4 separate regions of the Mus musculus genome follow, and regions 2, 3 and 4 are each reported to be linked to region 1. The links are microRNA targets in miRTarBase. Many come from high-throughput screens and were not tested one by one. Region 1 holds a microRNA gene; each other region holds the end of a gene's coding sequence.

Evidence for each region. Region 1 holds the annotated microRNA mmu-miR-511-5p (AUGCCUUUUGCUCUGCACUCA, at 4,324-4,344, shown strand). A microRNA usually pairs through its seed, bases 2 to 8, with sites in the 3' UTR of a target mRNA and lowers its output. Matches are read on the target gene's strand: a 7mer-m8 pairs with bases 2 to 8, a 7mer-A1 pairs with bases 2 to 7 and ends in A, and an 8mer does both.
Region 2: miRTarBase lists Nrep as a target of mmu-miR-511-5p. Seed matches in the 3' UTR shown: 8mer at 4,088-4,095.
Region 3: the mRNA of Zbtb8b is a reported target of mmu-miR-511-5p. Seed matches in the 3' UTR shown: 7mer-m8 at 3,964-3,970.
Region 4: the mRNA of Uvssa is a reported target of mmu-miR-511-5p. Seed matches in the 3' UTR shown: 7mer-A1 at 7,568-7,574 and 7mer-m8 at 5,611-5,617.

Annotation. Positions count from the first base shown.
Region 1 is chr2:14,256,690-14,264,906 of GRCm38, forward strand. It overlaps Mir511 (microRNA 511), which reads left to right and starts at 4,314; the gene lies at 4,314-4,392. Mrc1 (mannose receptor, C type 1) reads left to right here. Exons shown (of 30, transcript NM_008625.2): 5 at 315-428; 6 at 4,500-4,646.
Region 2 is chr18:33,433,440-33,441,656 of GRCm38, forward strand. It overlaps Nrep (neuronal regeneration related protein), which reads right to left. Exons shown (of 4, transcript NM_053078.4): 4 at 3,580-5,400. The coding sequence ends at 5,275. Among named protein-coding and RNA genes, the nearest start is that of Nrep, 26 kb to the right of the region's middle.
Region 3 is chr4:129,421,882-129,430,098 of GRCm38, reverse strand. Zbtb8b (zinc finger and BTB domain containing 8b) reads left to right here. Exons shown (of 4, transcript NM_153541.3): 3 at 1,493-1,671; 4 at 2,272-4,334. The coding sequence ends at 2,586. Among named protein-coding and RNA genes, the nearest start is that of Zbtb8b, 15 kb to the left of the region's middle.
Region 4 is chr5:33,414,706-33,422,922 of GRCm38, reverse strand. It overlaps Uvssa (UV stimulated scaffold protein A), which reads right to left. Exons shown (of 14, transcript NM_001081101.2): 14 at 3,169-8,125. The coding sequence ends at 8,032. Among named protein-coding and RNA genes, the nearest start is that of Nkx1-1, 15 kb to the left of the region's middle.

The DNA of each region.
Region 1 (8,217 bases):
TCTCTGTGTGTATGTATGTATGTGTGTGTGTGTGTGCATGTGTGCATGCATGTATGTATGTATATGCAAGTTCGTTTAGAGGGCAGAAGGCCTTGGATCCCTTGGAGCAGGAGTTAGAGATGGTTGTGAGCCTCCCAATATGGGTGCTAGTAACCTAACTAGGGTCCTCTGTAAGAGCAGTGTGTGCTCTCAACTACTCAGCTATCTTTCCAGCACCTTCTTTGACAACTCGGATTAACACATTTAATTCTGGATTTAATTTCACTGTCATTTCTCAATGCCTGTTCTGTGCTTGTGTTGTTTTTGCCCTATAGGATTAACCAGTTCCTTGAGCTCGGGACTCTGGATTGGACTCAACAGTCTGAGTGTACGCAGTGGTTGGCAGTGGGCTGGAGGAAGCCCATTCCGGTATCTGAACTGGCTACCAGGTAAGCATGCCTGAGTATTACTGGCTGAGTGGAATTCACTGAGATATCTTAAAGGTCTTCCTCATGTTACATATTGGTTTCAAAAAGTCTTAATGGAACATAGCTCATTTTCCATCATGCTTTGGAATCTGCAACCTGGATTTGATTATTCTAAAGTACAAGTTTACACAGGGCCAGCTTCCTGGGATAAGGACTTGTTTCCCAGGATAATCGCGACAGTCAATACTCATTCTGTTTGATGTCTACACTCTCTAAGTAGTTTATGAAGGTTTTACATTCAAAAGCATATTTTATAGCTATTTTTAAGTATGATTAAAGATAATAGAATTAGTACTAATATGTATTTTGCGTTGTTTTAACTTTGCCATTGTCCTTGAAACAACTATTGTAAAGTTTAAGTGTTCTACTTTTTGTATGACTATTGTTCTCCCAAAATTTTGGGATTCTCTTGTCCTACCTGAATTTTAAAAATTCAGTTAAAATGTGTTTATAGGTAAGATACATAAATATTTCTTATATATGCAATGCTATATACGCATCAATAATCTAACACACTTGGGTGGATACTAAGGACAGAACCTAGGGCCTTGTGCATGTTAGACAACCACTGAGCTATGTCCTCAGCCCTCTATATACTTTTAATTTGACAGTTATTACATAGACTGGCCTTGAATTTTCTCTACTTCAGGAAGACCTTGAACTTGGGAGCCTTCCTCCTCAGCCTCCTGAGTAGCTGGGATTTTCAGTCCTGTGTCTTGAGGCCTGACTTTGCACATATGTTCATATCTAGTAATATCTATAAATACACATTATAAGTTTAAGAGAAATGAATATTCTGTGTTGGTGGTGAATTTGTGTTAGGTGGTGAATATTGTCTTAGGTCATGAGATATTTTTAATATTACTGTAATCTTAAAGCCTATGGTAATACTGTTATGGTTGTTTATAATATAATAGAGTTGAATTAAAATACTGTCTCAACCACAAATTATAAAATTCTATGCTAGGATAAACATTTATTAACAATTTTATTGACAATATACAGTTTGATCATAAAAGAGAGAGTCAGAGAATACTCTTCTTCTAATTATCTGGAAGTTAGAAAAGGCATTCCCATTTTGTCATACTTTCATGTTGTGTGTGTGTGTTGTTTTGTTCTTTCTTTGTTATCACTTCCATGTTGTTCCACCATACAAGATGACAGAACACAAAAGGAGACAGATGGCTGTATATAAGTTGTACATATTAAGCAATTCTTCAGAGAAACATAAAGATCAGTTCTGAAATGTTTTCATCTGTTGAGTAGTAGGATGAGTTGTTAATACTCAAGTGGTATTAAGTGTGATTCTAGTCTCTCTAACTATAGCACACTACCAAGCCTGGCTTATTGCAGAAGAGTACAGTTAATGATTAGTGATTCCTGCCATGGAGCAGGAAATAAGTGTGTATTAGTCATGTTTTATCAGCTTTGCTGCAGACACTATTGAGACTGTATTTAAAAAGCTGAGGTTTCCCCCTTCCCTCCTCCCCTTTCCCTTCCTCCTCTTCTCCCTATAACCCCACTCTCAACCTAGTTTCCTTCATTGGCCAGATTATCTCAAGCAAGTGATCCTTATGCTTCTGCCTTCTGAGTATTGGGACCAACCACAAATATGCAAGCCATGCCTTTTTTTTCACAATTCTTTTCCTCCCTCCCTCCCTCCCTCCCTCCCTCCCTCCCTCCCTCCCTCCCTCCCTCCCCCCCTTCCTTTTTGAGCCATTAAATACCTTAAAAAAAAGCATTTGGCTTAAATATGTTAAGTTTTCTGTTTCATACCTTGACTTTTACTTTTAAGATGAAAAAGATAAAATAGTATTTTAAAAAGTGTTTAAACAAGGGAGAGAATTTTAGAGACTCAACATTTAGGGTTATGTGTTTATTTAAGTTAATTAGGCTTCAGAAATCTCAGGGAAAGAGCACTCATTTGGCATGCACAAAATTTTGGGCCCAGTGAACAGTGTTGCAAAAAAATATATGTTGGTACTGATTATATTTCACCATGAAATTCCACTCAACATGTTCGCTCACTGCCTGATGAGCATAGGGCTGTTATGTGAATTGTTTTGTACTAGAAATCATGACCGGTTAATCTACTTCGGAGCTATCTCCAGCCCCATGACTTGAGTCTTGAAATGATAATCTGTTTTATTTTCTTCTGAAATATGGGAAGTAACTGAAAGTGCATATGAATATAGATGCCCTTTCTTCATAAGATGATATTGTCTGCTGCTCTTGGGCTCAAGGGAGGTTAGAGAATTGCAGCGGGACTCAGAAGCTTCAGACAGTGGTGATTATATGGTAGGGGACTACAGTCCATTCTTGTCTTTAGTAGTTAAAAGTACTCCACGTCATAAAATAGTTCATTTTCTCTATTATTCACTTGGGTACAACCCCTTGTGGTCTTAGATCTCACTGAAAAAAACCCTGGGTATTAACTTTAGAAAAGGTGTAATAGGAATGGAAAATGCCTTACATGTTTCCAGAAAATAGATTCAACACTAACCTTCTTAAATAATGTGAGAATTTTATGAAATTAAAATAAGAATATTTAAACTATTTTTGTATAAATTACTTAGTTGATTGTTTCATTAAACGTTTACTAAGTGATTCATGTTCTAAAACACATATGGAGTGCAATCAAGAATACTTTATGTGAATGATGAAGAAATATAAATTCAACTATATAATAGTCACCAGATTAGTAAAGACCTCCAACTGCTATCTCAAGGTCGGTAGAGGTGTTGTATTGATAAATGAATATATAATATGATTTACCAAAGAGCACAGTATTTAAGACCAGTATGTATTAAATGTGATATTGTTTCTTGAAAGTTTTTTTCCACAATGATACAGAATCTTGGCCATATTATCAGAAGATTAAAAAAAAACATCTTTATATGTATTTTGGGGGTTTTTACTTTGTGTAGTATTTATACAACCTGGAAAATGTTTGTGTTAAAGACTTCCAAGGGCTGGTGACATGATTTCCTTTTTCTGAGGAAAGTGAAATTTTGGTGCATAATGAACATCCACCAAAGGTCACAAATTAGCTGTGTGTGTAGCTAATTTGTCAGACTTAGGTATGAGATGAAGTTACTTTCTGGGAAACTGGGGTTGAAATGATAAATCAGAGACTGTAGGGATTGGTTACCCTTGTAGTAGACAAATGACTCATCTGAGAATGTAGGGATGGACACATGTATCTATAGCAGTAAATAAATGACACATCAGAGGATATAGGGATGGATTCATGTATCCATTATAGTAGACAAATGATACATTAGAGGATGTAGATGGATGCATGTATGCATTGCAGTAGACAAATCATACATTGGAGGATATAGTGATAGATGTATGTATCCACTGTAGTAGGAGGATGTATTGATAGACTGTAGTGATAGGGTCATATATCCAAAGGTGTCAACCCAGTCAGGTATTTTTAACCAGCTTCCTGTAAGAAATGAATGAGGAGATAGCTCCAAAGGTTTTTCTTCAATGAATCCAACAAAATGTGCTAAGAATCTTAGTTCTGGGAGTGTAGGACATTGGTTTCCAGATCTGTTTCACTGTGTTTATCCCTTGCATTTTCTTCTCTTCAGTTAGCTTCAAGTAGTTTTGAGCGTTACTATTGACATTAATATAGCCATCTTGGGACAGTGTACATTATTTTTATTCAGCCATTCTATATATGATACCATATATAGATACATGATATCATATATCATCACAGTTGTTTAAAGTTTAAGGTCTAATGCTATCCATTGTTCTAGGTGGTTATTTCAAACCACTCTGCTGTGAACTCAACATTTTAAGCCTTGGAATAAGCCAGCAACAAGTAACCAAATAGATACCCACCATGCCTTTTGCTCTGCACTCAGTAAATAATAATTTGTGAATGTGTAGCAAAAGACAGGATGGGGATCCATTAAATCCCAAGGATGACGACGTAAGGTGTGGTGGTTGGCAGAGGATGGAAGCCATCCACTTAGGAGACTGTGGTATTCCCAATTTAACTTTGTAATTTGCTTAAAGGAAGTCCATCATCAGAGCCTGGAAAGAGCTGTGTGTCACTAAACCCTGGAAAAAATGCCAAGTGGGAAAATCTGGAATGTGTTCAGAAGCTTGGCTACATTTGTAAAAAGGGAAACAATACCTTGAACCCATTTATCATTCCCTCAGGTAAGAGGATCTCTATGATCTAATGTGTACTCAATCAAAACTGAATGACATGATTCTAGAGAGATTATTAATTATTTACAGATTAATAACATGATATGTCTTCAAAAGTCCATTTCTTTGGTCCTACTGTCTGGTAATGTTTCCTGAACATATAGGATGGAACATAGGGCCCCCAGTGTAGGAGCTAAAGAAAGTACCCAAGGAGCTGAAGGGGTCTGCAACCCTATAGGTGGAACAACAATATGAACTAACCAGTACCCCCCCGGAGCTCATGTCTCTAGCTGCATATGTAGCAGAAGATGGCCTAGTCGGCCATCAGTGGAAAGAGAGGCCCCTAGGTCTTGCAAACTCTATATGCCCCAGTACAGGGGAACGCCAGGGCCAAGAAGTGGGAGTGGGTGGGTAGGGGAGCAGGGCAGGGGGAGGGTATAGGGAACTTTCGGGATAGCATTTGAAATGTAAATAAAGAAGATATCTAATAATAAAAAAAAAGAATTTTATATCTCCAGTCTTGTAAAGTAGGTATTATTTCTCCTATTACATGTTATAGGAAAGGAAAGAGAAATTCATAGGATATATAGTCTCTGTATACCCAACAAAACTGGAATTAAGACTAGGAAGTAAATATCTGGAGGGAAAGACTTTATTTAGTGATCACTGGTAGATGTGTATGGGGACTTTGGTACATTATCCATGATGGATGTAAATTAGATCCCTGGTTCATAATCTCTGATGGACATGATAGAGAGCCCTGGTTTATGAATTCTTATGGCTATGGGTGGAGGCCCCTGGTTCATGGTCTCAGTTCTACTTTACAGATTTTCTAGAGTGATTGTGCATGAACTTGTGGAGACCTCAATTGTTCTTGCAACTTGTCTCTTCTATTACTATTGCAAAAGGAATGGCTAAGTCTTTCTTGAAAGAATTCATATAGTTCTCTTTCAGAGACCTGCAGCAGTTACCACTTTGGGGAACTAGAGAAAAGTTATTTTTAAGTTTCTCTGGAATGAAAGGCACAATTCTATAATTTGGCCTTATTGCTTAATCCACCAGTTTTAAGTTCCTTGTTTGTAAAATATGAATGTTAGTAACTCTTCTTCTTTAAAATCTCGTTATATCATCAAGCTTGTATTGTTAAATCCACTATTGCCCCTGATTCACTTGTGCAGCTACACTAGCATTGGCCTTTGCATTGTTATCCTGACAAGATTATTCTGCTGTGCAGACAAACCCCTCTAAGTAGAGATTTAAATTTGTAGCATTTTTTCCAGTGCGATGGCACACACCTTTAATCCTAGCATGTAGGAGGCAGAGACATGCGAATCTCTGAGTTCAAGGCTGGGCTAGTCTGCAGAATAAGTTCCAGCTCCCCTTCTTGGAGCCCCTGCACCTGTTAAAAAGTTGCTGCATTCCCGGTTGGTGGCCCCTCTTGGCAAGCATCCAGTCTTGTACCCTTCAGTCCTTGCCATAGTCCCTGTGTGTCCGTAGTTCCCCCAGCTCCAGAGCCATAATATGCATCTTTGTGGCTACTAACCATAGGTCTTTGGTTGAATGAAACATGTCTAGTGTGAACTGAGATTTGCTGCCCATGTAAAATACATGTTGGATTTCCAAAACTTTAGCATGGGAATAAATGGAAAATCTTGTTTTAGTTGATCACGTATCAAAATGATAATAGTTTGGATATACCGAATGTACTTTTTTTCTATCTACTACAGCTAGTAGCAAATCTAAAATGATGCCTGTGGCTTACATTGCTAGCTACACTGTGGACAGTGATGGTCCCCTTCAAAAACAAAGAATCTTTTGTGCTTTTGTGTCCCAAGCCTCTCCCTTTGTTTCATTTGTGTTGGTTATTTTCTGTTTTCATACTTTGTGTTTTCCTCTGCTGGGCATTGATCATAGGACCTCGTGCATGATAGACAAACATTCTGCCACAGGGCTAGAGCCACAGCAGATGACAAGCATTCTGCCACAGGGCTAGAGCCACAGAAGATGTGTTTTTAAATGCTTCTCAGGCTCATCAGTTTCCTAGAAAGAAAAATTAAACATCCCACAGAAGGGATCTAGACTATGCTAACCTTTCTGTTTCTCTCCTTCCCTTCCCTTACCTCCCCTCCACTCTCTTCTTTCCTCTTCTCCCCTTCCCTCTCTTCCCCTCTCCTCCCATCCTCTCCTCCTCCCTCCACCCCCTCTTCCCATCTCATCCCAACTCCCTTCCTCTCTTCTTTCCTCTTCTCCCCACCTCTCCTTTTCCCTCCCCTCCTCTCACCTCTCCTCCTCTCTCCTCTTCTCCTTTCTACTCTTTTCCTCTCCACTCCTCCCCTTCCCTCTTCTCTTTTCTCTCCCCCCCTCCCTCCCTCCCTCCCTCCCTCCCTTCCTTCCTTCCTTCCTTCCAATTTTTTTTGGCAACTCATGAAAGTATTAAGAATTGAAATTGTACTAAGGAATGAAATTTTGTTTTACAACACTTCAGCTTAGGATGATGCAAATTAGAACTTTTGCCTCTGCACAAAGAGGCAAAAAAAAAAAAAAATTGCCTCTGCACAAAGAGGCCTTAGGCAATCTTTGCTCTTAAGGAGAAATGGGATTCAAGGACAAAGAGCCAGCTGTGAGAATGTGCACCTGTCATCTCAGCAGCTGAGAGTCTGAAGCAGGAAAAACATGAGTTCAAGGCCATCCTTACTAGGCTACTCCCTGAGACCCTGTCTTACCTTTCTGCCCACCCACATGAGAAGGTGACCAAAGGGACCAGTATCAGGCATTAAGTGAAGCAGCACATTTGTGATCACTTAAATATATAAACTAAGCCAATAGCATAGTTTATGTAAAATGGTATTTGTAAAGCAGCAAAAGGAAGCCACTATGTGTTGGATATAGCACCATTCTCTTTTCTAACCAACACTCAGTGCATTTATTGTGTGTCAGGGCCCATGCCAGATTCAAGGACATCCTGGGAAGAAGAGAGTATCTCTCCCTTCAGAGACTTTCATTTTAACTCCCCATAGTTCGTTACTATTAAAGTTTTTGCAACATCTAATCAAGGTAACATTTGACCACAACTTCTCATAGCAACAAGGAGGATGTTTAACACCGATTTATTTTTTATTTAAATAATGATTTTTATGTGGCTTTTGTGTCTTGTTTTTTCCTCATCCAGAACACAGTGATATATTATATTTTAATATGGGTTAATATGGGTTCTCGTTTTTAAAAAAAAGTATGTGGCTTGTCTTAGTTAGGGTTTTACTGTTGTGAAGAGACACCATGACCAAGGCAACTCTTATAAGGACAACATTTAATTGGGGCTAGCTTATAGGTTCAGAGATTCAGTCCATTATCATCAAGGTGGGAGCATGGCAGCATCCTGGCAGCCATGGTGCAGGAGGAGCTGAGAATTCTACATCTTCAGCTGAAGACTCCTAGTGGAAGACTGACTTCCAAGCAGCTAGGATGAGGCTCTTAAAGTTCACACCCACAGTGACACACCTATTCCAACAAGGCCACACCTCCTAATAGTGCCACCTCCTGGGCCAAGCATATACAATTATCAAATGGCTACTTTGATTCA
Region 2 (8,217 bases), not on the chromosome of region 1:
TCCAAAGAGGGCTGGGGAGACACAGATGGTCCAGCAGGCAGGCTGTGGGAGGAGCTTGTTTCCAGCCTGAAGTTAGTGCTACTGTAAGTAGTTCCACTGTCAAACACAAAGCTTTGGTAAGTTGCCTGGCCCTTTGTTAGTAAAACAGGTTCGTGGCTACTCCCTATACCCACAGGATTAGCAGTGCAAGCCACCTTTCCTGGATGAAGCAGGGAGCAAGAACAGGGGTGGTAAGGGTCATAGGAGGAAGGAGGCACCCGTCATCTGAAGATAGAGTCTGCTATTTAACTCCACTCTCCTAGTGTACAGTTTCCATTTTCCCACCCACACATTCATGTGGAGTGCTTCCATCTTTGTAAGCCCTGGTAACTAATCACCATTCTTAAAACCACACTGTAAACAAACTAAAGAGGTCAATAGGGTCTATCTGGTCCTTAGTTGTTGGTTGCCCATCTGCACCCCAATACAATATGGTAATACTTTTTTGTTTCTGGTGAGAGAACAAAGTCTTTAATCAAAAACTGAGGCTCCTGTTTGACTCCAACTAGCCTTCAGATTCATCCGGCCTTCAAATGCTCAACTTTGCCACAGCAGGTATTAACCATTAACAGGCCCATGGCTGCTCCTGGCATGATTTCCGTGAGTTTATAGTGGAGTGCAGGGTCAATCACCCATCATTTTCACCTTTATGGAAACTGAATGAGCCGTCCTCAGTAACCCCTGTGGAACACCACCGATTTTTCTCAGAACTGTAAATATCATGTATTCCAACCTCTGTTTTTACAACTGCCAGTAATTGTTGCTTGCAGGGCTAAGAGCACTTTAGTTAGTAAATGAAAGCCCTGATGCTCTGGGTTTGTTCTAGAACCTTCTTCAGAGCCATGCTCTGTGGGGCTCCGGGAACTGTGACTTAAAAGAAGCATCTGCTATTCCAGGTTTCAGTTATTCTTATAATTTATCCCTTAGCCTACAACAAACCCTGAGTTCTTTTACTAAATAGAGACTGATATATTATTTCAAAATCATGTCTCCAAATTCTTTAGTTTTCCCCACTTCAAGAACTAAAACTTGCTTTTCTACCTTGTAGAGTATGTCATAAGGCTATATTTAGTAGCTGGTTTACCTGAACAGAATATGATAGTAGTTGGTTTGGGGATTTTTGTTTGTTGGCTAGCTTGCTTTCTTTTCTAGTTCCCTTCTTGTTCTTTTCTGGTCTCACACTATAGAGGAAGGATGGCCTAGAACTCACTATGCAAAATGTGCTGGCCTCAAACTGATGGCAACCCTTTAGCCTTAGACTCCTTCGTTTCTGTGATTATAGGTGTAAGCCACCATTCCAGCACAACGGTGAGGTTTGAGACTAGATCATATGTACCTGGGCTTGTTCCTAGATATGTACACACACACACACACACACACACACACACACACACACACATATTTTAGATAAAAGCCAAGATTTGGTGGATTTGAGGCAAGCTACTCTACCAACTGAATTATATTCCCAAGCCTCTCTTGATATATTCTTTAGGAAGGCAGAAGTTATGGGGACATCTCAGTTCTGCAGAGAGACCAATGAACAGAGGGGCTGAGGTGCCCAGCCAACATCCAAGGATGTGGGCACAGCTTTCTAACCCCAGCAAGAATATCAGATGGCTCTAGGCCTGTTTGACATCTTGGCTGCAAAGGCGTATAATAACCACCAGCCGCACTACTCCAGAATTCCTGACCCATAGAACCTGTGGGATAAGAAAAAATATGTTTTCAATATGTAAAACGTGGTTTCAATCTCTTTAGGAGCAATTGATAATTAAGATGGATGGAAATAAAATAACAGAGAAATGCCACCGATTGTCCCATCTCATGATCTTTTCATAATTTAGCAAGTCTTAATTTAGTAAGGCAATAAAACAGAGTGTATCCCCCATACCCATTATGCCCCTCCAAGCAGAGTGTATCCCCCATATCCGTGATGCCCCTCCAAGCAGAGTGTATCCCCCATAGCTGTTACAATCCTCCAAGCAGAGTGTATCCCCCATAGCTGTTACACTCCTCCAAGCAGAGTGTATCCCCCATAGCTGTTACACTCCTCCAAGCAGAGTGTATCCCCCATACCCGTGATGCTCCTCCAAGCAGTGTGTATCTCCCATATCTGTAATGCCCCTCCAAGTAGAGTGTATCCCCCATAGCTGCAATGTCTCTCCAAGCAAAGGGAGGTTGTTGAGTGAGGAAAATTAGGATTCCTCATAAGTAAAAAGATAATCAAATAATAGGAGACCTTCCCATGTATTCAGAGGCATTAATCTCTGGGTGTGTATACAGGTGCCAGTATCTCACCTGGAATGTGCATTAATTTTGAATTAAACTCAACATCCTCCCAATTTATAAGATACCTCTTGACATGCACAATTAGGAATGAGGATCTTCCAGAAAGCAAGAAAGCATCTTCTGTCCCCCATATTGAGGAGGACACACTCCCAGAGTGTGGCTGGTAAGCTTCTCTGTTCTACCCCACCCCTAACTCACTCTCTCTCTCTCTCTCTCTCTCTCTCTCTCTCTCTCTCTGGCTTTTATTTCAGAATTATGTTCTTTACCCTCTGGTGAGGTGTCTCAGTGTTTATACTCCACCAGCTGATTTTGAAACTCTTGCATAAGTCAAGGTGACGTTTCAGTCCCACGATGGCTGAATGAGGAATGCAGCAGGAGTTTCTCAACAGTCAAGACGTCAGTCAAACATTCAATGCCGAGGCCGCAGCTGGAGAGCCATGCCCACGCCCTTGGCTGTTGGCTGAGAACCTCAGATCCTCTAGTCATAGGTCTCTGTTCAGAACTGAGATGTACTCACACACCTGCCCTTCCTAAAGAATATATCAAAGAGGGTTTGACCATAAAATTCAGTTATAGAGTAGCTCGCCTTGCATGTGTCAATCATAGATTCTATCTACAGCAGCGCATGGGTCTATCTACATGGAGCATGGGTCCCCAAATTCCAGTTTTCAGAGTCACTTGAGACTTCCAAAAGGCTTTGATGATGGCAATTCATCACCCACAGGGGTCTGGGTGACTGCATGCCTGCACACCAATGGCTTCAACGCCTATCTCAGAATTGGATCCTCTTACAAATGTGAGTCTTTTGTCTGTGTGGAGGTGCCAACCTTTCCCAGAGTGGGTCTTGCTGGTAAGGGAGTGTGAGAACATGCATCTTGAGGTATGTGAGAATGTGCGTCTTGCGGTGTATGAGAACGTGCGTCTCGAGGTGTGTGGGAATGTGCGTCTCGAGGTGAGTGGGAACGTGCGTCTCGAGGTGAGTGGGAATGCCCTAAGGAGAAGTGGAGGATTTGCATTTACCTCTCCTTTGTGACCAGGGCAATGCTGTTAACACCATCTTAATGAGCCCCTACCTCTCCCTTAATCTCTTAAAGCCCTCAAGAGAGAAAATTTTCAAAAGGCAAATCTGCTTCACCCTTCTGACACTTGGCCTGTCTGACCTGAGGGATCCTGGGAACACAAAACGTGGTATGAATCGACAGAGGTGTTAAAAAAGACCGACCGACCCTACAATAATGAGCCAAAGCACAGTTACCTTATAGCTTGCATATTTATTGAACAAATCCTACTAAAATAGCTAAAATACATTGGGTACTTATGAGAGGACCACGTTACAAAAGCCTGCATTTTCGGCAGCGCACACTGCAATTCTACATAATGCCACAAATGCACAATACCGTTTCCTTGCTTTATTTACATAGCTGATATACCTACCCTAACAGAGGTGGGGGTAGCGAGAATGCACAAGAAACTCAAGCCAGAGGGGAAGCGAGAGAAAGAGTGAAGAGGGACAGTGCATGCATCATTGGTGTTTAACAGTCAGAAGCGCAAACAGTTCAGAACAAGGCCTGCCCTGTCAAAGGAAGAGCCAAAGACGTTATATAAAAATTAAGGTGGGCTTTCAGTCTGGCTAACACAACAACATTCTGTGAGGAGATGGCATTGTCAGATTTTATTTTTGTTTATCCATTTCATTGGGAGCAAGGACAAAAATGTAAAATCTACACCTTGCTTATCAAAACCACCCCAAAAAGGTATTTTGCCTTTCACCACCATCACCATCATCACCACCACCACCAACAACAACAACAACATCGTCATCACTATCATAGTCATCACCTTCATCATCACTATTTTGTAAAGACATTTTTCCAATTTCAACTTTGGGAAAGGGATAATTTTCAAATTCCTACTCAAATGCCAGCACTTTGGATTTTTTTTCCCACATGGCACTTATTAAAAGAGTGGACTTTTATCCCCCCTCCCCCAATATCTAGTCAAACAAAAAGAATCCAAAGAGATAACCTCAGAACGCCTGGAAAAAAATTATTGCTTTTCTTTTTCTAAGTCAGGCAGGTGAGGCTGCAGAAAGGAAGAGATCTGGTAGGTCAATTACAGTTTTGTGATTGCTCCCGCTACCGTGACTGCACATCCACCAGGGCCAGTCACGAGAGGACAGCCTCTCACACTCTTGGTAGCATCCACTCAACCTACAACCCTGAAGAAGAAAGCCACACTCAAGACACAAGGGAAACAAGTCAGTCCAGTCTAGAGAAGAACATTCCAGGAAACAAAGTACCGACACCTTCTTAGAACATGGAAATAAAAACAACTCCACCAGAGCTACCTCGCCAAGGAGCATGTTGAAAGTCCAAAATAGCACCATTCATCAGTGTCTCAGGCCCTGTGGCAGCGTCTCAGTCACTTACCACAAGGAAACAATGAGTTTCAAACTACTTCTATACATCAAAAGAGTACATGGGTAAAATATAGATATACAGACAATTGATGAACATAAACTACTAGGCTTGTTACATCTAAATGAAGAAAAAAAAAAACCGTGGGGGGGACTCTCAGCCTCTGCAAGAAGCAGTCGGGAGCTGTCTGATGAAAGGCAGGAGTGGACCAGTCATCTGAGCGCAGTAGGAGTTTTGAGTTGTGGAAGACATTGTTGTAGCGAACCAGGCCTGAAGGCCCACCTGTAGGGGTTGTAAACGTGGATTCACAGTGTGAAATTCTGAGCGTTTTCACTTGAGTCAGAATGATTAAAAACTGGTTTGATGAAACCTATTTGTCCACTGTAAATTCTCTAAAGCCAGGCTTAGAGTCCCATAGTTTCTTCTTATAGTTGATGATTTACACAGAAAAAAAAAAAATCCCATATATGATACCAAGACCTCATCAAAACCCCATACACCATATGCAATACAAATGGAGGTGGGACGATTAAAAAGGGTGGAGGTAACTGGTAGCTGGAGAGGTGAATTCACGGCTGCCTGGCGGAGTCAGCGAGGCAGCGCCAGTCTCCTCCATCTTCTTTCGGTTCACTTCCTTAGGCACGGGAAGTCTTCCCTGCAGGAGAAGACAGACAAACAGACACACACACAAACATATACTTAGTCACACTTTTAAAACCATCTTTAACGGTTTTTGCTTCTCTACCGCTTTCTTGTCCTGGAACTTTTTCTATTGTGCAAACAGTTTATATATTAACAGTATTCTCCTGAACGTAAAGACTTATTTTATGTGTATGAGTGTCTGCCTGCATGCCCATGTGTGTACAACATGTGGGCCTGGTGTTCATGGAGCACAGAAGAGGGCATTGGATCCCTGGATCCAGATGGCTGTGAACCACCATGTGAGTGCTAGGAGCTGAACCCAGGTCCTCTGCAAGAATAGACAGTGTTCTTAACCTTAACCACTGAGCCATCTCTCTAAACCCATATAAGTATGTGTGTGTATGTATTTTTAATTTCAATGGGTGATGTGATGGAGGGTTGACAGTATATTTTCTATTACACAATAAGAATACTTTAAAATATAGCACAATACTTAAATCTTTTCAATGTAAGCCTTACTCTAAAAGCAATTAGCACACTTCATCCAAGTGCTGACAGTCAGGACTAAAACGGTACCCAAGATGGAAGTGTTTGAGAGATACACGGTATAAAAGGATCTCAGATAGCAGCTACAGGAAAGAGGAGGAGAGTGAGAAACCACATTCAGAGGCTCCCGAGACTCTGTAAGTCCCTCCTTCCTCAGCGGATGGCTGACTATAACGATGAGCCTGACAGGAGATAAGCATGCTGTGCTGCTCCTGCTGGCACACACGAGGCTGGCAGCGAGGTGCAGCCTCCCTCAGAACCCAGCAGCAAGAAGGCAGGCAGGTCAGTGGGGCCCTCTGACCAACTGACATGCACGTCTTAATTCATTAAAAGCGGAAGAAAGATTGCATGTCCCATTCACACACACACAGTGAAGACAAAGCTCTCTCTAAATCAAGCCATTGATTTTTGGTATTTTCTTTGTTGTTTTTGAGTATTTACGTTCCGGTCGATGGAGTTGACTATATGGAAGTACTTGGTTACTAGATGAAAATACTGTGCAGTTGTGAAAACCATGTCGGTCTTGAAATTTTAGTATCCAGTACACAAAATAAAGTAAAAATTAAATTAAAAAAAATCTACTGGTATTTTTCAAGTTATGTTCCCCCCACCCCTCCACCAATCTGACCAGTTAGTGTGGCTCCAAACTTAGCATACTGATGTGTGTTGGTTTTTGAGACTCAGTCCCACTATCTCTTGACATCCAGGAAAAAACACACTACAAAAAAACAAAAACAAACTCTGGAATATTTCCGATCTGAACTTAGCTCTTCTATTTTTATTTAATTCATTGTCTTCCTCCTGTAGTCCCAAACACTCACACACTACAGCACTCCTTATTGTTCAGTACTCCTCTATGCCTGCACACGCTGCTGGCATTTAAGTCTACAGAGAGAAGCAGAAACAAAAATAGTCCCTACCCAACCTGCCTTTAACTATCATCTATGGGAGGTACCAAAGTAACGGACAACAGACCATGCCAGTAGGTCATGCAGAGATATGCTATTGAAAGACCCTGAGGGCCAAAAAACTGAACCCCCTTCAATGAGACAAACTCCCAGAGAGATATGGCTCTCTGCACCTCCTTATTGGAGCCCAAATTTACTAGATCACAATCTTCGTCCCTGACGCTTACTGTTTGGTTTTAAAGAACTGTTTGTCTCTAATACACTTCCTGTCCTCAGAAGTGTGGCTCTACAGTCATTGAGGAGACGCAGTTACCATTCTCCACCACCGACAGGTAATGATCCTTGTGCGACAGAGACCTGAGTAATCTAGAAACCTGAGGATGGGTGGCAAGCCGAGGTACTTGTGGCCCCAGCAAGCCTGCTCTGCCAGAAGCCACATCCAGATGGATACTGCTGATGACTGCTAGTCCAGCCCGTTGCTAAGTAATGTGCTTTGGACTAAGTTATCTGAGATTATCTTTCATGCAAGTATGCAAAGTTATGCTTTTCCAGAAGTTTCCTTTCGGAAAAAGGACAATTATATTATGTTTAAAAGACTACTTCATGTTTAGAGAAGATATAACAAGATGGCTGTGTCCACCATGGAGCATGCTATAGTGTAGGCAAGAAATGCAGGGAAGGACTGCTGTCTTCACACCTCACTGAGGAACCTCATCTGGGCTCGCCCACCTGCTTGATATTGCCAGTATGGAGGAGGGCTGTGGGGAGGCCTGACTTAGGTATGAATTAACTACACTGTTTCTTCTCACCCTCAGCTACCTCAGGAGAATTATGCCCTAGTTTTGCTCAGAAAAGAATATCTAGGGACAAAAATACACATGTATGTGTATAAATAATTGTAAGGGGTGAGGCATGTCGCCCAAGGCAGAATATGTGCCTAGCATGCATTCTATCTCTGGAACCATCAAAGTAATAATGTAATAATAAATAATAGTAGTAATAATAATAATAATACAGAGAAGGAGGAAGAGGAAAAGGAGGCAGAGGGGTGAGTTGGTGATAAAGGGTTACAGTGTTTCTCAGCTGTGTGCTGGTGCTGGAATTGTGGGCTGTGGTTGAGTATCTACCCCAGTTCTTTTCCACCCCAGCTCTATACAACTAGCACAGACTACGCTCCATCAGGTCCCACAGAATTTTCATCCATCTGCATCTCTGCCAAAAGTTTCAACTTGACCTTCAGAAATTCTCTGGAAAACTTAAAAAAAAAAAAAGTACTTAGGCTTGTTTTCTTTCCATGCGAACTGGCAGAGGACAGGACTACAATTTCTGAAAATTCTGTCAATAACGGGAATTCTGTCATTTAGTGTTAATAAGGT
Region 3 (8,217 bases), not on the chromosome of region 1:
TGGAGAGCCTGGGCCCAATGGGAAGAGCATACCTTGCTGACTGTAAGATAAAGGAAGGCCACTTTCTAATAGTGGCTTTCCTGGTCTGAGACTATATAAGTTCCCAGTTTGGGAGGTGGGCCAGATAGTTTGCATGGGTTCCTAGAAATTGGAGGGGTGCCTCAACATGTTGGACACAGTCTTGGTAGTTTAGATGGCCCCCTTAGTTTTGGAAGTATCTCTCCTGATCTTAGAGGTCCTGGCATTTGAGCAGGTGTCTGGCCTCTGGACCTGGCCCATATTGGTGGTCTACCGACTTCAGAGCCAGTTCTAGAAAACCAGTGTTTCTGAGTCTTTCAGTGAAACTTTAGGTTTCTTTTAGAGTTACAAAGTTCATTGTGTTTAAAATATAACCCTCCTAGAGCACACACAAGTTTACTATGCCTTATGACGCTCGGACTCCCACCTATCTCTCCGTCTATTCCCAAATAAACTACTTATATTTAAAGAATCTTGGATCGCTAGGCACTGTGTCCAAATAGTACAACCAACTGGAGACCGAGGGCTCAAATACATGAGCCCATGGCAAACATTTCTCATTCAAACCAACACATCACTGTAGCCCCAAGTTTGGGATAAAGCCCCATTGCTGTTATTGGCTTTAGTGATGGGCCTGTAGGTACAAGACGTTGAAGGCTGGTATGTTTCTATGATAAGTGTGTCTGGGTTGGTTTCCTAGTATTCCCAAGTGAGACCCTCTATATCGTTTCAGTTGCATATAGATTGGTCTTTATAACACAGAATGTTGACTGGCTGTTTACAGCTCACACCAGGATGAATCACGCCAGGTGTTACAGGGGAGCCGTGTACAGGGAAGACAAAAATAATTTGGGTATATTACAAAATGTTTGTAAAACTCACAGAACATGGGGCTGGAGAGATGGCTCAGAGGTTAAGAGCTCTGGCTTTTCTTCCAGAGGACCCAAATTTGGTCCTGGAACATTTATGTCAGGTGTCTCATAACTTCAGCTCCAAGGAGACACCTTCTGGCCCCCATGGGTATCCATAAACACCTGGCATTAATACACAGACCTACCCATTTACATGAATAAAAATTAAATGAACAAAAATCTTAATAGCAAAAACCTCTCATGGGCTGGAGAGATGTCCCAGCTACTAAAGCCTGATACTCATGACCAGAAGCTAAGCTGGGTGGGTGGGTGGGGATGGGCCTTAGTGAAAGAGCATTTGGGTATCACAGTCAAGGCCCTGGGTTCAGTGTCTAAGCAGGGGAAGGGAGCGGGAAAGCCCACTTAGTTGACTTGACCTTTGATCTTTTAGAAGCCAAAGTGGGACTTGCACTGGTCAGTCTTGCAGCTTGCTAGCAGGTGGAGTTGGTAGTCTCCCTCTCTGTCTGGGATGAGGGTGTTTCCCAGTCCCACCCCGAAAGGTGGCTGTGGTTGTTGTCCCTGTTGACGGCTAATGGGCTAATGGCGTCTGTTGGCTTCCTCAGGTGACGTGCTGGTGGTTCCTATCAAGCTGCACAGGTGTCCCTTCTGCCCTTACACCGCCAAGCAGAAAGGCATCCTCAAACGGCACATCCGCTCCCACACTGGCGAACGGCCGTACCCCTGCGAGACCTGTGGCAAGAGGTTCACCCGGCAGGAGCACCTTCGGAGTCACGCCCTGAGCGTGAGTGTCAGGGACGTCGCTGTAAGGGCTGTGCCTGTCTCCTAGTGTGAGGGTGGGACTGTCTGTCACTGCTCTCTCATCTAGAGATTTTTTTTTAAGAGAAGTTTGTGAAGTTTTCTCTTACCAGGTTAAAGCCAAGCTGGCGGCACTTAGAAAGTTAATGCTAGCCAGGTGTGGTGGCGCACACCTTTAATCCCAGTACTCCAGAGGCAGAGGCAGGAGGATTTCTGAGTTTGAGGCCAGCCTGGTCTACAGAGTGAGTTCCAGGACAGCCAGGGCTATACAGAGAAATCCTGTCTCGGAAAAAAAAAAGAAAAAAGAAAAAAGTTAATGCCGGTGTGCGAACAGGCCAGTTTTCCAAGAAGCCTAGCTTTTGTTCAAGGATGGCCGTCATGAGGCCAGAATTGGCAGGGCCAGCAGACTGTGAGTTTCTTCCCCTGGTAAGGACGTAGAGTAAGCTGTATCCCCAGTTTCCCACCAGAACTGATACCCTGAGGCAGGAGAGTAACTTGCCTCCGTTTGCACAGCAAGTACTGCTAGCTGCTAAGTCACCTCTCCAGCCTTTTCTTTGACCTTTACGGTGTCCCCTTGTGCTGGCAGGTCCACAGATCCAGCCGTCCAATTATCTGCAAAGGCTGTCGACGAACCTTTACGAGCCACCTGTCCCAAGGACTGCGGCGCTTCGGGCTGTGTGACAGTTGCACCTGTGTCACAGACCCCCAGGAGGAAGAGGACGACCTGATGCCTGTCAACCTTAGCCTGGTGGAGGCTTCATCTGAAAGCCACGAGAAGAGTGACACAGATGACTGGCCCATCTACATAGAGTCTGGTGAGGAGAATGACCCAACCGCGGAGGATTCTGACGACAAGCCACACATTCGGCCCAACTTACCAGCCCCAGAGACACTTACGTAGCAGTGACTCGGTGGGAAGGTTTTAAGTGTTGTGGCTTGTTCTACTGTGAAAGCTACCATTTGTCGAGTTCTGTGAGACTTGGGGATCATCTCCCCACAGTGTCGTTACACTTGGATTTTTTTGTTAGACGAAGGCTGGATGTTGTGACTCAAAAAGACTGATGACGTTTTAGCATGGAGTCTTGAGAGTTTTGTTGACGTCTCCTTGGTACTGACTGAATTGAGATTGAGCCCCGAGACTTCCTAATTTTCCTGCTGAGAAGCTGACTCTGGGCCGGAGATAAATAAGAAAACCTCCCAGCTTAGCACTATGCTGGTCTTTTACGTTCTTACATCATTACAGTCTTCTGAAGAGGTGGCAAGAGTATGTTGTCAGAACCTCTGTCTCTCCCCTGCCAGGCTTCTTGAAATGAACTCCACATTTAATTTTCTGGGAATCTGCTTCGATAAAAAGCAGGCGGGGCTAACTACGTGGTCATAAAAGGTACTCCCTAAATCTAAGACTATATGCCTAAAGGCTGGAGGAAGCTTTATGCAGACAAACACTGACACAAATTGCAAGTTTATTCTGGGCCCGCTGCTTGCCCACCTAGATTGAGTTAAGTTAAATGAGCCCCCAGAGAAGAGCCAGTGAGCCAGGGCAGAGTACTGTCCCCGTCTACTCTGCTATTTGACAATTCCGTACACACAAATCCCCTATTCTCAGATTATAAAGCAAGTCGTTTGGGCAAAAATCAAAAGGCTGCTTAGTCATTTCCCAGACATGCAACCTGGATATGCACACCCTCGTGACATTCCTGGGCATGCATGTCCCGCCTGACATCCTGCCACCTAGTTTATGCCCAGACTTGAACTGCAGGGGAGACATGCATGCCTAACTAACATTCAGGTTTTAGAAGACCACCTAGAAGGAAGGAGCTGGGTAGAACAGGTTTCAAGCCGGTCTGCTTTTCACCCACTCTGCAGCCAGGTCACAACTGTAGCAAAGCAAGTCGAGTGTCTCTAAAGTATGAAAGGACAGGAAAGACCATGGATGAATGGTGCACTAGAAGGTAGCTTGCAGACTTTTCTTAAAAGCATCTGAAGTGGACTTTAAAAGAAATCCCTTGTCTTCCTTTACTTTTAACACAGTTTCAAACAGCAGTGAAATCACCAGGTCTCTCTGCCTCTTGAACAATACCTAGTGAGAATCATTTATAAACTGCCTTGTATGTATTGTCTTGTCATTAAAGAGTGGAAGCTTTTGTTGGTTTGCTTGTATTTTGAGACAGGGTTTCTCTGGGGGGGGCCTTGGTTGCTGTGGAACCTGCTTATGTAGACCAGGCTGGCCTTGAACTCCTGAAGTTCTGACTGCCTCTGCCTCCCAAGGGCTGGGATTAAAGGCATGCGCCACCTCCCCTGGCAGGACTAGGGTTACAGCTCCTTGTCTGTCATTAGGAAGTCCCTGGGTCCAATCTCTAGTACTGCAATAAACAAATACCTAAATTTGTGTTGTCTGCAAGAAAAAAAAAGCCTTTTTTTTTTTTTTAAAGGAAGAAAGACGGCATGAGGGTTGGAGAGGTGGCTCAATGGTTAAGATCATTGGCTGCTCTTCCAGAGGACCTTGGTTCAATTCCCAGCACCCACATGGCAGCTCACAATTGTCTCTAACTCCAGTTCTGGGGATCTGACACCCTCACACCAATGCACATAAAATACAATAAAATAAATTATTTTAAAATTGTCAACTTTATAAAAAAGAAAGAAAGGAAGAAAGGAAGGAAGGAAGGAAGAAAAGAAAGATCTTTTAGTTTTCATAGTAGTAGGTGTTATATCCTGGACCTTGTCCATGCTGGGCAAGTACTCTCTACTGACTTAGTCCCCACCCGTGGATGGAAAGATATTTCAGTTGTACTTTAACAATTGTACCTGAGACTCTGATGACACTTTTACATTACTGTGATGCCCGCATTCTGTTAGACTTTGTTTCCTTGAACAAGGCATGGGCCATCTGAGGTGTAGTTACCTAGACAGCCACATCATAGAAAGACTGATACCACACAGGCCTAAGTGACATATGCCTTTATTAATCCCAGCACTTGGGAGGCAGAGGCAGGCAGATCTCTGAGTTCAAGGCCAGCCTGGTCTACAAAGTGAGTTCCAGGACAGCCAGGGATATAAAAACAATAGTACCAAGGTTGAGAAATTCTAGATATAAAGTGGGGTTTTGAATGATGTTAATTTTGGGTTCTGCTTCTGAGTCCAGATGTTTCACAGTTTGCCCAATGCCTAGTGTAGGTGTTATGACATAGAAACTTAGAAATCCTACCAGGTATGGTAGGAAACAACTGGAATCCCAGCACTAGGGAAGAGGAGGGCAGAGGATCAGGAATTCAAGGTCAGTCTCAGCTACAAAGCAAGTTCAAGGCCAGGGTGGGATACTTAAGAAGTTGTATTGGCAGGGATGATGGTGCACACCTTTAACTGGAGGTCCAGCTGTGCTCAGCACTCCAGAGGCAGAAAGAAGCAGGGGGCTCTCTGTGAGTTGGAAGTCAGCCTGGTTTACATAACAAGTTCCAGGCCAGCGAGGGCCTGTCTGAAATAAATAAATAAATAAATAAATAAATAAATAAATAAATGAAGTAGAAATGAATGAATGAATGAATAAATAAATAAATAAATAAAGTAGAAATGAATGAATGAATGAATGAATGAATGAATAAATAAATAATAAAAATGAAAAGCTAGAGAGATGGTATAGGCTTAGGTTTTTCAAAACCTATTTTAATAAGGGTATTTTAATAAGGGTACTCAAACGTTTCGCCTCCCCTTCTAGCCCACCAAAGGTAGGGGAGAAAAGAAGGTGATAGGACAAGGGTATGTGTGCCTGTTTAGAACTAGTTCTTTCGGGTGATTCCAATTCCCATTGTCAGGATACCAGTCCAAAAGTGTCAGAAGTGGCACAATCCAGCAGAAACTGCCAGGCCTCTGCTGAATCGGCAGGAGTCATTGGAAGCAACCGGGACCAGCTGGGATGCCATCTTTCTCTCAATAAAGGGAAGATTAGTGAAGATGCAATGCCAAGGGAGTGTTTGTTGCATGAGTGTAGCTGTGCAAGCACTTTGTCTCCTCCATTGAGTCCTATTTATATTCTCTCCAAACATCATGTGTCCTCTCCTGGGTCTTGCCTCAGCAAAATATCACGTGAGGCTGCATCACATGACACAACCAGAAATTTCTACTTCATAATGGTGTGGTGGTTAAGAGCTCTTATTGCTCTCACAGAGGACCCAAGTTCAGTTCCCAGCATCCCAGCTGCTTGAAACTGCAGCCCTAGGAATAGCTGATGCCTCTGACCTCCGTGGTCACCTGCACTCTCAGATGTACACACTCACACCCAGGATATGAAGATCTAAGAGAAAGCTTGAAAGAAACTGACTCTGACCCTGGTTTACATGCCCAGGGTCATCCTCCCCTGACTCTGGGTTCTTCTTGTTTGTTTCTGTTTATTGATTTAAGAGCCTCACTGTTTGACTCACCTCAGCCAGGACTCAGTATTAACCAGGCTGACCTCGAACTCAGAGAGACCTGTTTGCCTCTGCCTCCTGGGTGCTGACATAAACCACCAGACATGGCCATTTTTGTTACACGAGCAGAATCTTGGGAGGAAGACGGCTGTGAAGCCCAGAGTGTGTCTTGTGTTAACACCCCGTGATGTCTCAGACTGCTCATTCCTAGGTGACTATTTGGAGTTTGTCAATGCACATTATACTAACGGAGTTGCTGTATTCTGTTATTTTTAAAAAAGAGCTACTTCTTTGGTGTAGACTGTCAGATCATGGACTGGTCCCCTTTTAAATGGGCTTTCACATTTGATGGTCAGTAATTATCCTAGTATCTTCAAGGCTTAACTCACGGTGTTAATAGTTTAAAGGATGTTATGGGTGGGTTCTGGGGATTGAAACTAGGGCCTCTCACATGCTAAGCAGGTCAAACCTGCAGCCCATGGTGATTTATTTTTTATTTTTTATTTTTGCAAGACAGAGCTTCTTTGTATGGCCCTGGCTGTCTGTGGTGACATTTTTATAAGTAAATTTGCAATTGGGCACAACATTGACCGTACATGATTGAGTTTATAGTATTTCATCTTTCTGGCACATTCAGTCTAAGTTCACCAAAAAATATTTTTGTCTCAGAAGATATAGTGCATGGATGGGTCCAAGATACAAACTTGAGATGAGACTCAAAAATGCATAGTTATGAAGCTGGTTCCTTTGAAGGAGGAGGCAGCTCTTCTCAAGGGTTGAGAAGAAATGTAAATGATACTTATGATTTGTAGTTAAGAAATGACTCTGATGCCTGATACACTTAAACATACCAGCCTTTAATCCCAGCATTCAGAGGTAGGCAGATCTCTGTAGTTCATGCTACTTGAAGGTTCTCTTGCATGCTACCAGAGAAGGAAATCACCAGTGTCTCCCAGCTACAAACTCTGCAACCTACAACAGTGACAACGTATACTGATGCAAGGTAGCACAAATGTTGCAGGAGTAACCAACCACTCTGACAGGATTTAAGGACCACTCGAAGAAATGGAACCCATACCCATACGTGAAATTGCTAAAGTGACCAGTGGCCAGGAACCTGAGATTAGATCATGGTCCTAGGGGAAAAACCTACATAGGCAGTTTAAACTAGCCAGTACTATATAGGAAAACCCTGACTCAGAAGGAAAGAGGAAAAGAAGAAATTACTCTGAGCATGATTTCTGATCATTTGGAAGATACTATTCTGATGTCAAGTGGTCCTGGTTCAATCCTTAGTATCAGATGGAAGGAAAGATAGAAAGAATGCAAGAGAGGAATTGGGAGAGGGAGAGGGAGAGGGAGAGGGAGAGGGAGAGGGAGAGATCCCTGGTGTTAGGGTGAGAATTATGTGCTCTTGTGGACAGTTGGTAGTAACAAGCTTGGGGGTTTTGCAGGGAGGCATCCATTTCAATTACACACCTTGAAGACGTGGAATGGGTATGAAATATCTGCCTGACACCTGAATGGGACCCATAGCTTGGCAGCAGGTCAGAACCAGTTAATATGCACCTGTGAGATCCCTGAAGCACTCGGCATAGCTCAGATGCAAAACAGATCTCACAAGCATGGAATATGGCTTGGATTTTATGTCATCTATACAACCTCAGACATAGCTTCCAGGGCCTCAGTAAGACATGCCTGTTTCAAAAGCCACAGTCCTCAGGAAATCTCAGAGCTGTGGCTCCATTAAGGTATATATAGTTCTGTCATCCAAGGTGTAGTTTACCATTTAGAGGTAATTTCTACCATATATAATGTTGCCTAGCAACATAGTAAATGTATGACTCTTATCATGTTGTCAGGGGAACAGAGCTAGAAAAGTTAACTAAAGATCAACATATCATACCAAGATCAAATAAATTATTTTTATTTATTTAATGATATATGAAGTAATTGCACAATAGATATCCCACTTAATTCTTTTCTTTTTTTTCCTTTCTTTTTTTTTTTTTTTGTTTGTTTGTTTGTTCTTTTTGAGACAGGGTTTCTCTGTATAGCCCTGGCTGTCCTGGAACTCACTCTGTAGACCAGGCTGACCTTGAACACAGAAATCCACCTGCTTCTGC
Region 4 (8,217 bases), not on the chromosome of region 1:
CTGAAACCCTGTTTCAAAACAAAACCAAAAAGAAACATTGACAAAAAAAATCGACTCTCAAAAACAAAACAGAAAAACCACCTGCAGCAACAACAATAATAAAATAAAATAAAATAAAACCAGGCAAATCTTTCTGGTTCTTAGGCAATGGTTTCTTTGAAATGACACCAAAATTACAAGCAACAAAAGAAAAAATAAATGACTTAATTGAAATGAAAATGAAGAAACATGAAAAAGGACATCTACAAAACTCCACAGTTGGTATCACACTCTGTGTCTATGTGGGAGGTCAGGACAGGAGATTCAACATTCAACAGTGGACTGGAGATGCTAACCAGAGCAATTAAGCATGGGGTGGATTGTGCTGTGCCTGCCTGCGTGCGTGCGTGCATGTAAAGAAACAAGCACACTTCATATCTGGAAAGGAAAAAGGAAACATGTTTGTTTAAGGATACCAGGATTGTGCACAGAAAAAATTCTAACATACACAAACACATAAGCTATTAACTAACAGATAAGTTTCATTCACAGAGCTGCAGGATACAAGAACAAAATAAAAATTAACTGTATTTCTGTAAGTTAGCAATAAATAATCTAAATACAGAATTCTGAGAACCGTCACATTTATAAAAGCATTAAAGCATGTAGGAATACATTTTTTAATATAAGCGACCTATAAAAAACTGTAAAATACTAAAAATAAACGACAGCTCAATTAACTAGAATGCTATCAGAAGTTCATGAATCCTAACCTGCCTTCAGGTTCCTCCTGTCCTGCTTGAATTGAGTCCTTGTCCTGACTTCCTTTGATGATGAACTGTGATCTGGAAGGGTAAGCCAAATAAACCCTTCCCTCCCCAAGCTTCGCCACAGTTATGGCAAACCCTAGTATGACAGTGGTCAAGGCTCCCAGTGGCTAACAATTAAAAGAGTCAAGGACAATGAAAGTCCCAAATGCAAACAACGAAGCCGACGTTACCTCACAGCACAATTAATTAAAAATGGATCAAAGCTGTACATGTCAGAGCTAAAAGTATACAATTCTCAGAAGAAAGCTGACTGTAGTGGCACACTCATAGCACTTGGAAAGCAGAGGCAGGTGGATCTCTGTTAGCTGGAGGCTAGCCTGGTCTACAGAGTGAGTTCCAAGGCAGTTAGGACTGCATAGAGACTCTATTTCAAAAAAATACAACAAAAACAAAAATTTCAAAAAAAAAAACCTATGAGTAAATCAGTGTGCCTTGAAGTTAAGCAATATGTGTGTTTATATGTATATAATTAGTGTATACATTAGAAATTATATCAATAGCACAAGAAACAAAATAAAAATATAAATGAACTTTACTAAAATGAAAACCTTTGGGGCCAGTGAGATGGCTCAGTGAGCAAAGGCACTTGCTGTTAAGCCTTCCCATTTGAGTTCAATCCTAGGACCTGTACGGTGGAAAGAGCAAATAGATTCTTGAAGGCCATCTTCTGACTTCCTTAAATGAGCACGCACAGGCACACGCGCACGCGCGTGCGCGCGCACACACACACACACACACAAACACTGTAATTTTAAAAGATTAACAACTTTGAAGGGCACTATCAAGGTGAAAAGACGAGAAAACATCTCCAATTCATTTAAGGATGCAGTGTTTAGAACATATATAAAACCTCTTACAAGACAACTAATTGAAAATGAGAAGTTATTTGAACACATATAAGTGGCTAATAAACACAAACACTACCATTAGTCACTAGAAAAATGAAAATCAAAACCATAAAGTAATACTTTCCACTAAGATTGTTAATATTAAAAAAAAAAGAAAGAAAAAAAGTAACAAGATGAGAGTCTAGAAAGATAGTTCCCGAGGTCTCAGGTTCAATTCCCAGCACATACAAAGCAGCTACCAACTGTAACTCCAGTTCCAGGCCATTTGACTCCTCTCTTCTGGCCTCTGTAGGTACCAGGATAGAAACATGGTTTAGACACATATGTGCAGGCAAAACACCCATACACATAATTTTTTTGAAATTCTTTTTTTAAAAAACCCACACCCATACACACTTTTTCCTAAGGAGCCAAGGACGGTGACGTACACATTTCATACACTGCCAGCGATACAGACAGGTGGGTCTATGCTGGGCTCGAGGCCACCCTAGACTACCCAGCAAGTTCTAGATCAGTCAGAACTACAGCTGCACAGTGAGCCCTTGTCTGGGAAACCAAACAAAAATAGGATAAAAGGAGGAAACGACGGCCCTAGCCTTCACGACTTGGGAGCTGAGTCCAGTGCTCTGGGTGTGAACTTCCCTCATTGCTAAAGATACTGAATACTTTTTAAAACCATTTTTTTTTCTGAGAAAGTCTAGATCTACATAACTCTTTAAAGTAGGTTATTTTGGTTTTTCTGTATATCCTGGATATTAATTGTCTACCAGATAAGGTCTTATCTCACCCTGTGAGCTTATTTTTGGTTTCCTTTGCAGTACAGAAGCTTTGTGGTTTTATAAGATCCTATTCATAAATTGTTGGTCTTAATTCCTGAGCAAAGGGAGCCCTATCCAGAGAGTTCCCTACAGCTCTAACCTGGAGGATGTGGACTATGCTTTCTTCAGCCATCTCAAAGTTTCAGGTTTCGTACTGAGGTCTTGATCCATTTGGAGCTCATTTTTGTGCATGGGGATGGACATGGGTCTAATTTCATTCTTGTTCATGTGGGCGTCCAGTTTTCCAGTCCTTGTCTGCTGAAGATGCTGTCCTTTCTCTAGTGTGTATTTTTGGGACCTCTGTTTGATATTAGCTGGCTGTAGTCATGTGCACTCATGTTTGAGTCTGTTTTGTTCCATGGACGCACATCTGCTTTTGTGCCAGTACAAGACTATTTTCATTGCTCTATCTTTGTAATACAGCTCGAAATGTGGGATTTCTTCATACTTTTCATCTAGGATGATCTTAGTTGTGGGCTTGTCATATATATCTTTTATTATAATCATAATAAATCTTTTTATTATTAATATTTCATTACAAAGCCATTTGGGTGGTGGTGCAGGCCTTGATTCTGAGCACTTAGGAGTCAGGAAAGCAGATCGCTGAGTTTGGGGCCAGCCTGGTCTACAGTGAGTTCAAGGACAGCCAGGGCTACACAGAGAAAACCTGTCTCAAAATAACAACAGCAGCAATAACAAAAGGAAAAGTTTTATTACAAAAAAACTTATAAAAAACATCATACAGTGAAATTAACCAGACCCAAAGTTTATCCATCTCAATGAAAGCTGTGGAGCTTCACACTGGATTCCACTTTCACCATCAAATATTGTTTTATGCACTTAACCACACACACAAAAGAGGTAAAACTAGAAAGAAGAGTTAACTGTCTTCTTTCATGACTCAAGTGTTCGTCACCTACATCCAGTCCTTTCTTGGGTGAACTAATATGGCTATACTCGGCTTGCAGTGTTTTATTAGATTTTTGCATCTATGTCCATCAGAGATATTTGCCTATATCAGAGATATTGTTGTTGTTGCCTACATGGTTTTTGGCATTAAAAATGTTCCTTCTGGTTTTTTGTTTATTTTTTAGTATTGGCTGTAGGTCTGTGAAAATCTGGTGGAATTTTCCTGTGAATCTATCTGGGCCTGGGTTTTTTTTTTTTTTTTTTTACTGTTCCAATCTCCTTCCTTGTGACAGGTCTGCTTAGGAGGCACTGGTGGTATAATGTTATAGGTCTGTTTAGGTTGTCACTTTCTTAAACTTTGGTAGTTTGGATTACTCTAGAAATCCATCCATTCCTTTTTTAAATTAAAATTCATGAATGTTTTGCTTGCATGTGTGTGCACCACATGCGTGCCTTGTGCACTTCTTCTAGTTTCTAACTTAATGGAGACTAGGTTTTTAAAGTACTCCTCTACAGGACTGGATTTCATTGGTGCCATGATGGTTCCAGTTCAACTTGAATTCTATTCCTTTGAATCACGTCTTTATTTTTGTTTATTTTGATTTTGGTTAGCTGGATAGCTAGAATCTGCCAATGGCTTGTCAAAGAACCAGCTCTTAGATTCATTGATATTTTTTTTCTTCCAATTTCATTAATTTATGTTGTTTTTACTAGGTATTCCACTCTACTCAATTTAGACTTGTTCCTGTTTTTACAAATCATTGAATTACATCATTAAGTCATTTATTTGTGCTTTTTCTGATTTTTAATAAGGTAGTTAGTGCCTCATAGGTTGCCATTCTATGTATCCAGAGGTTTTGTTGTTTTTAGTTGTATTTGACTTCAGGATTAAAACATTTTTTCTTGATTCTTTTTTGACCCATTCACTATTTAGTAATGTGTTGTTCAATCTTCATGAATTTATATAATTACCAGGAATTTGTTTGCTATTGATTTGAAGCTTTATTGCATTGTGGCTTGATAAAATATATTAAAATTTTTCAATTTTCTGAACTTAAGATATGTTTTGTGTCAAATTATGTGATCTAGTTTATTATTTTCATTTTTTGAGACAGGGTTTTTCTGGGTATCCTTGGCTATCTTAGAACCCATTCTGTAGACCACTCTGATCTCAAACTCAAGATTTGCTTGCCCCTGTCTCCTGAGTGCTTGAATTAAAGGTATGGACTACCACCTCCTGGCCAATATGATCTATTTTGGGTATTTGGCCTGCTGTGTAGAATGTATATTCTTTAGTGTTTGGGTCAAACATTTTGTACATATTTGTTAGCTCCATTTGCTGTATGACATCACTTAAATCTGATATCTCTATTCTTTTTTGTTGTTGCTGTTCAGATGGCCTGTATTCTGGATAAAGTGGGGTACAGAAATCACCCACTAATACGGAACTGGAGTAATCTGTGTCTTTAAGTTCAGTGGCATGTTTCTTATGAAATTGGGTGTTCTAGAGCTTGGTGCATACAGAACTGTAATGTATTCATGGTCAATTGTTCTCTTGATTAAAACAAAGACTCCTTGTCCTTAATTCCACCATTTGGAAGGAAGAAGCAGGCAGATCTTTGTGAGTTCAAGGCCCACCTGGTTTATATAGCAGGCTAGGACTGAGTAGGAAGACACAGTCTCAAAAAAAAAAAAAAAAAAAAAAAAGGTAGTGAGTGACACCTGCTTCCTTCCTCTTTGCACTTGCTTGGGATACTTTTTTCTATCCTTGTGCTTTAAGGTGGCCCCGATCTTTAAATCTTTGTTCTCAATCCATTCAACAAACCAGTGTTTCTTGACTGGGGAGCTAAGGATATTATTAAAACCTTGTTCTGGTTAAAGGTGTGTGCTGGCTCCTGGTTCTGGTTTAAGGTGTGTGCTGGCTCCTGGTTCTGGTTTAAGGTGTGTGCTGGCTCCTGGTTTGCTCTTTGCATTCATCCTCTTTTGTGCTTCAGCAATTACAGCTTCACTTGTCTTCCTTGTCCTTTTTCCTCTCTTCAGTCTAAAGAATTGCTTTTGGTATCCTCTCTAGGACCAGTTTGGTGGGCATGAATTCTTTTGGCGTGTTTATACCACAGAGCATTTTCCTCTTTCCTTCAACTATGGCAGGAAGTTATGCTGGGTACAGTACTGTAAGTTGGTATCCATGGTCTTTTAGACCTTGAAGTACCCTGGTCCAGACTCTTCTGCCTTTTACAACTTCCACTGGGAATCAGCTGTTGTTTTGATGGGTTTCCTTTACATGTTCCCTGTTCCTAGTCTCTCTAGGACTTTTATTATTTTATTATATTGGATTTTGTCAAAGGTGTTTTCTGCATCTATTGAGATAATCATGTGATTTTAAAAAAATCCTTAAGTAGACACTATTTAACAAAAGTCCATGTATACGAACAGGAAATCTCCTAAGTTGTGGCCAGGGAGTTAAGAGACTATCAAAATGACATAGGTGAATGTTGTTGCCCTTAGCTGCCTCCCAGAACATGACGGTGAGAATGACTGCTAAAGATAACAGCAACTGTCTTCATATGTGATGACAAAGAAGAGATCATGAATTTGAAAAAAGGGCATGGGAGAACCTGGAGAAGGCAGGAGAGGTGGAAATGATGTGAGCACAGTCCTCTTGTATAGAATTCTCAGAAAAGCAAAAGAAACAAAGACACCAGTGATGGCATGAAGCCCTCAGGAAGCAGAGCAGAGTGAGTGTAAATGGTGCAGCCACCATCCAACAGCTTAGCCCCTCACAAGGAGGTTACTATACGCATCGGTGATGTACAGAAACAGTTGTCCACACACAAAAAAGCACAGATATTCACGGTAGCCCTAAGGTAGGAACAGACCAAACATCAATAACAAATCCATGGAGACAGGCCATGGTGGCGCCTTTAGTCCCGGGGCTTGGGAGGCAGAAGCAGGAGGATCTCTGAATTGGAGGCCAGCGTGATCTACAAAATGAGTTACCGGACAGTCAGGGTTCCAAAGAGAGACCATGTCTCAAATGAGAGGGTGGGTGTGGCAATGACAAAATATGACTCCATTCACTGTGATTTTGTGTGTGTGTGTGTTTACCTATGTGTGGGCAGATGTCTATGGGCATATGTGAATTTTCATATTATAGGCCAAAGGTTGTAGTTGAGTGTTTCCCTTCACTGTTCTCCACTCTATTTACAGAGGCGGAGTCTCTTGCTGAATCCAGAATGCACTGATTTTGGCTAGTCTCCTTACTGAGTTTGCCCCAGAGATCCTGTCTCCTCTCACCAAGGGCAGGATTACAAGCAGATTACCATAACCACTTGACTTTTATATGGACTCAGTCCTCATAATTACATGCAAGTGCTTTACCTGCTGAGCCACCTCCCTTGTCCTCTGCTGAGGTCCGTGTGTGTAAGAAGCAGGACTGAAGGACTGCTATCACAACATGGAAGAAACTTCAAAGGCAAAGAAGCTGGAACAGAAGGGCATACTCAGCCAGGAGCCATCGTACACGCCCTTAATCTCAATACTGAAGAGGCAGAGGCAGGAGGATCTCTGAGTTGGAGACCAGCCTGGTCTACACTGTGGGCTCTAAGACTGCCAGAGCTACATAAAGAGACCACATCTCAAAACAAAAACAAAAGCCGCAGACCCAATTACTCTAAATGCATAGGCATGGAAAGAGAAAGCGGGCTTCGAGGTGGTCAGGCAGTTTGTCTGAACACTAAAGTTCTGGAAGCCAGTGGAGTCACTTGTTATACACTGTGCATAACCTGGGTGACTACATGGTATGTGAGTTAGGGCTCAACACACCTGGTCCAGAGTGGTGCCAGGAGCTGGACATGTGTATTAAACAGCATATGCATGAAAGGGTGGATTGCTGAAGGCATCATAAAGTACATAGCACCACTAGGGACACACTTACTGCCCAAGGGCTGGCCAGATGGAGTGCCTGCCCCTATCCAACTCCAATGCAGGTACGTCATCCTGAAGGGATATTTTTTTCCCTCAGAGACATACTCTGCTTATGTAAGTTTGGCTGGCTTAGAATTTACAACTTAGACTAGCTTAGCTGTTTGTTTGTTTTAAAGACAGGGTTTCTCTGTGTAGCCCTGGCTGTCCTGGAACTCACTCTGTAGAACAGCCTGGCCTCAAACTCAGAGATCCACCTGCCTTGCCTTCTGAGTGCTGGGATTAAAGATGTGCCTACCATGCCTGGCAACTAGGTTAGCTTTGAACTTGTATTGATCTTCCTGCCCTGCCTGTTAAGTGTAAAAATTACAGGTGTGCGTCACCTCATCTGGCTTTTTGTTCTTGTTTCTCAAGCAGTCTTGCTCTGTTATCCATACTGGCCTAGGATTCAGGTCCTGTTTATGTCCAAGTGCTGGGATTACAGGTGAGGTACCACATGTGTGGTTAAAATGGTTGGGAATCAAACCCTGGCCTCACCACTAAACCATATCCCCTGGCCTCCTGGAGAGTATTTTAATGCATCACTACATTGTTACATACAGAAAAAACAAGCTCTGATTCTACTCAGACTTAAGTCTATTCTCCTTCCTATCCTAGTAAGCTAACGAACGGAGAAGAGCTGACGGCCAAAGGGGACCACAGCATATTCAGCACACCCACACCCTTTTACTTCAGCGCATAATTAAATTGGTTTGCAAACTTCTCGTGTTTCTTCTGGTCCATCTGGTTCATGGCAGCAACTACTCTCTGCACGGCTGCCCTATGGAGAGAGAGCACAGTAAGAAGTGACAGGACTTGACAGACTTGACAGGACTCTGGAGTCCTAGTTTGGCTTGCTGCTTCTGGACCTCA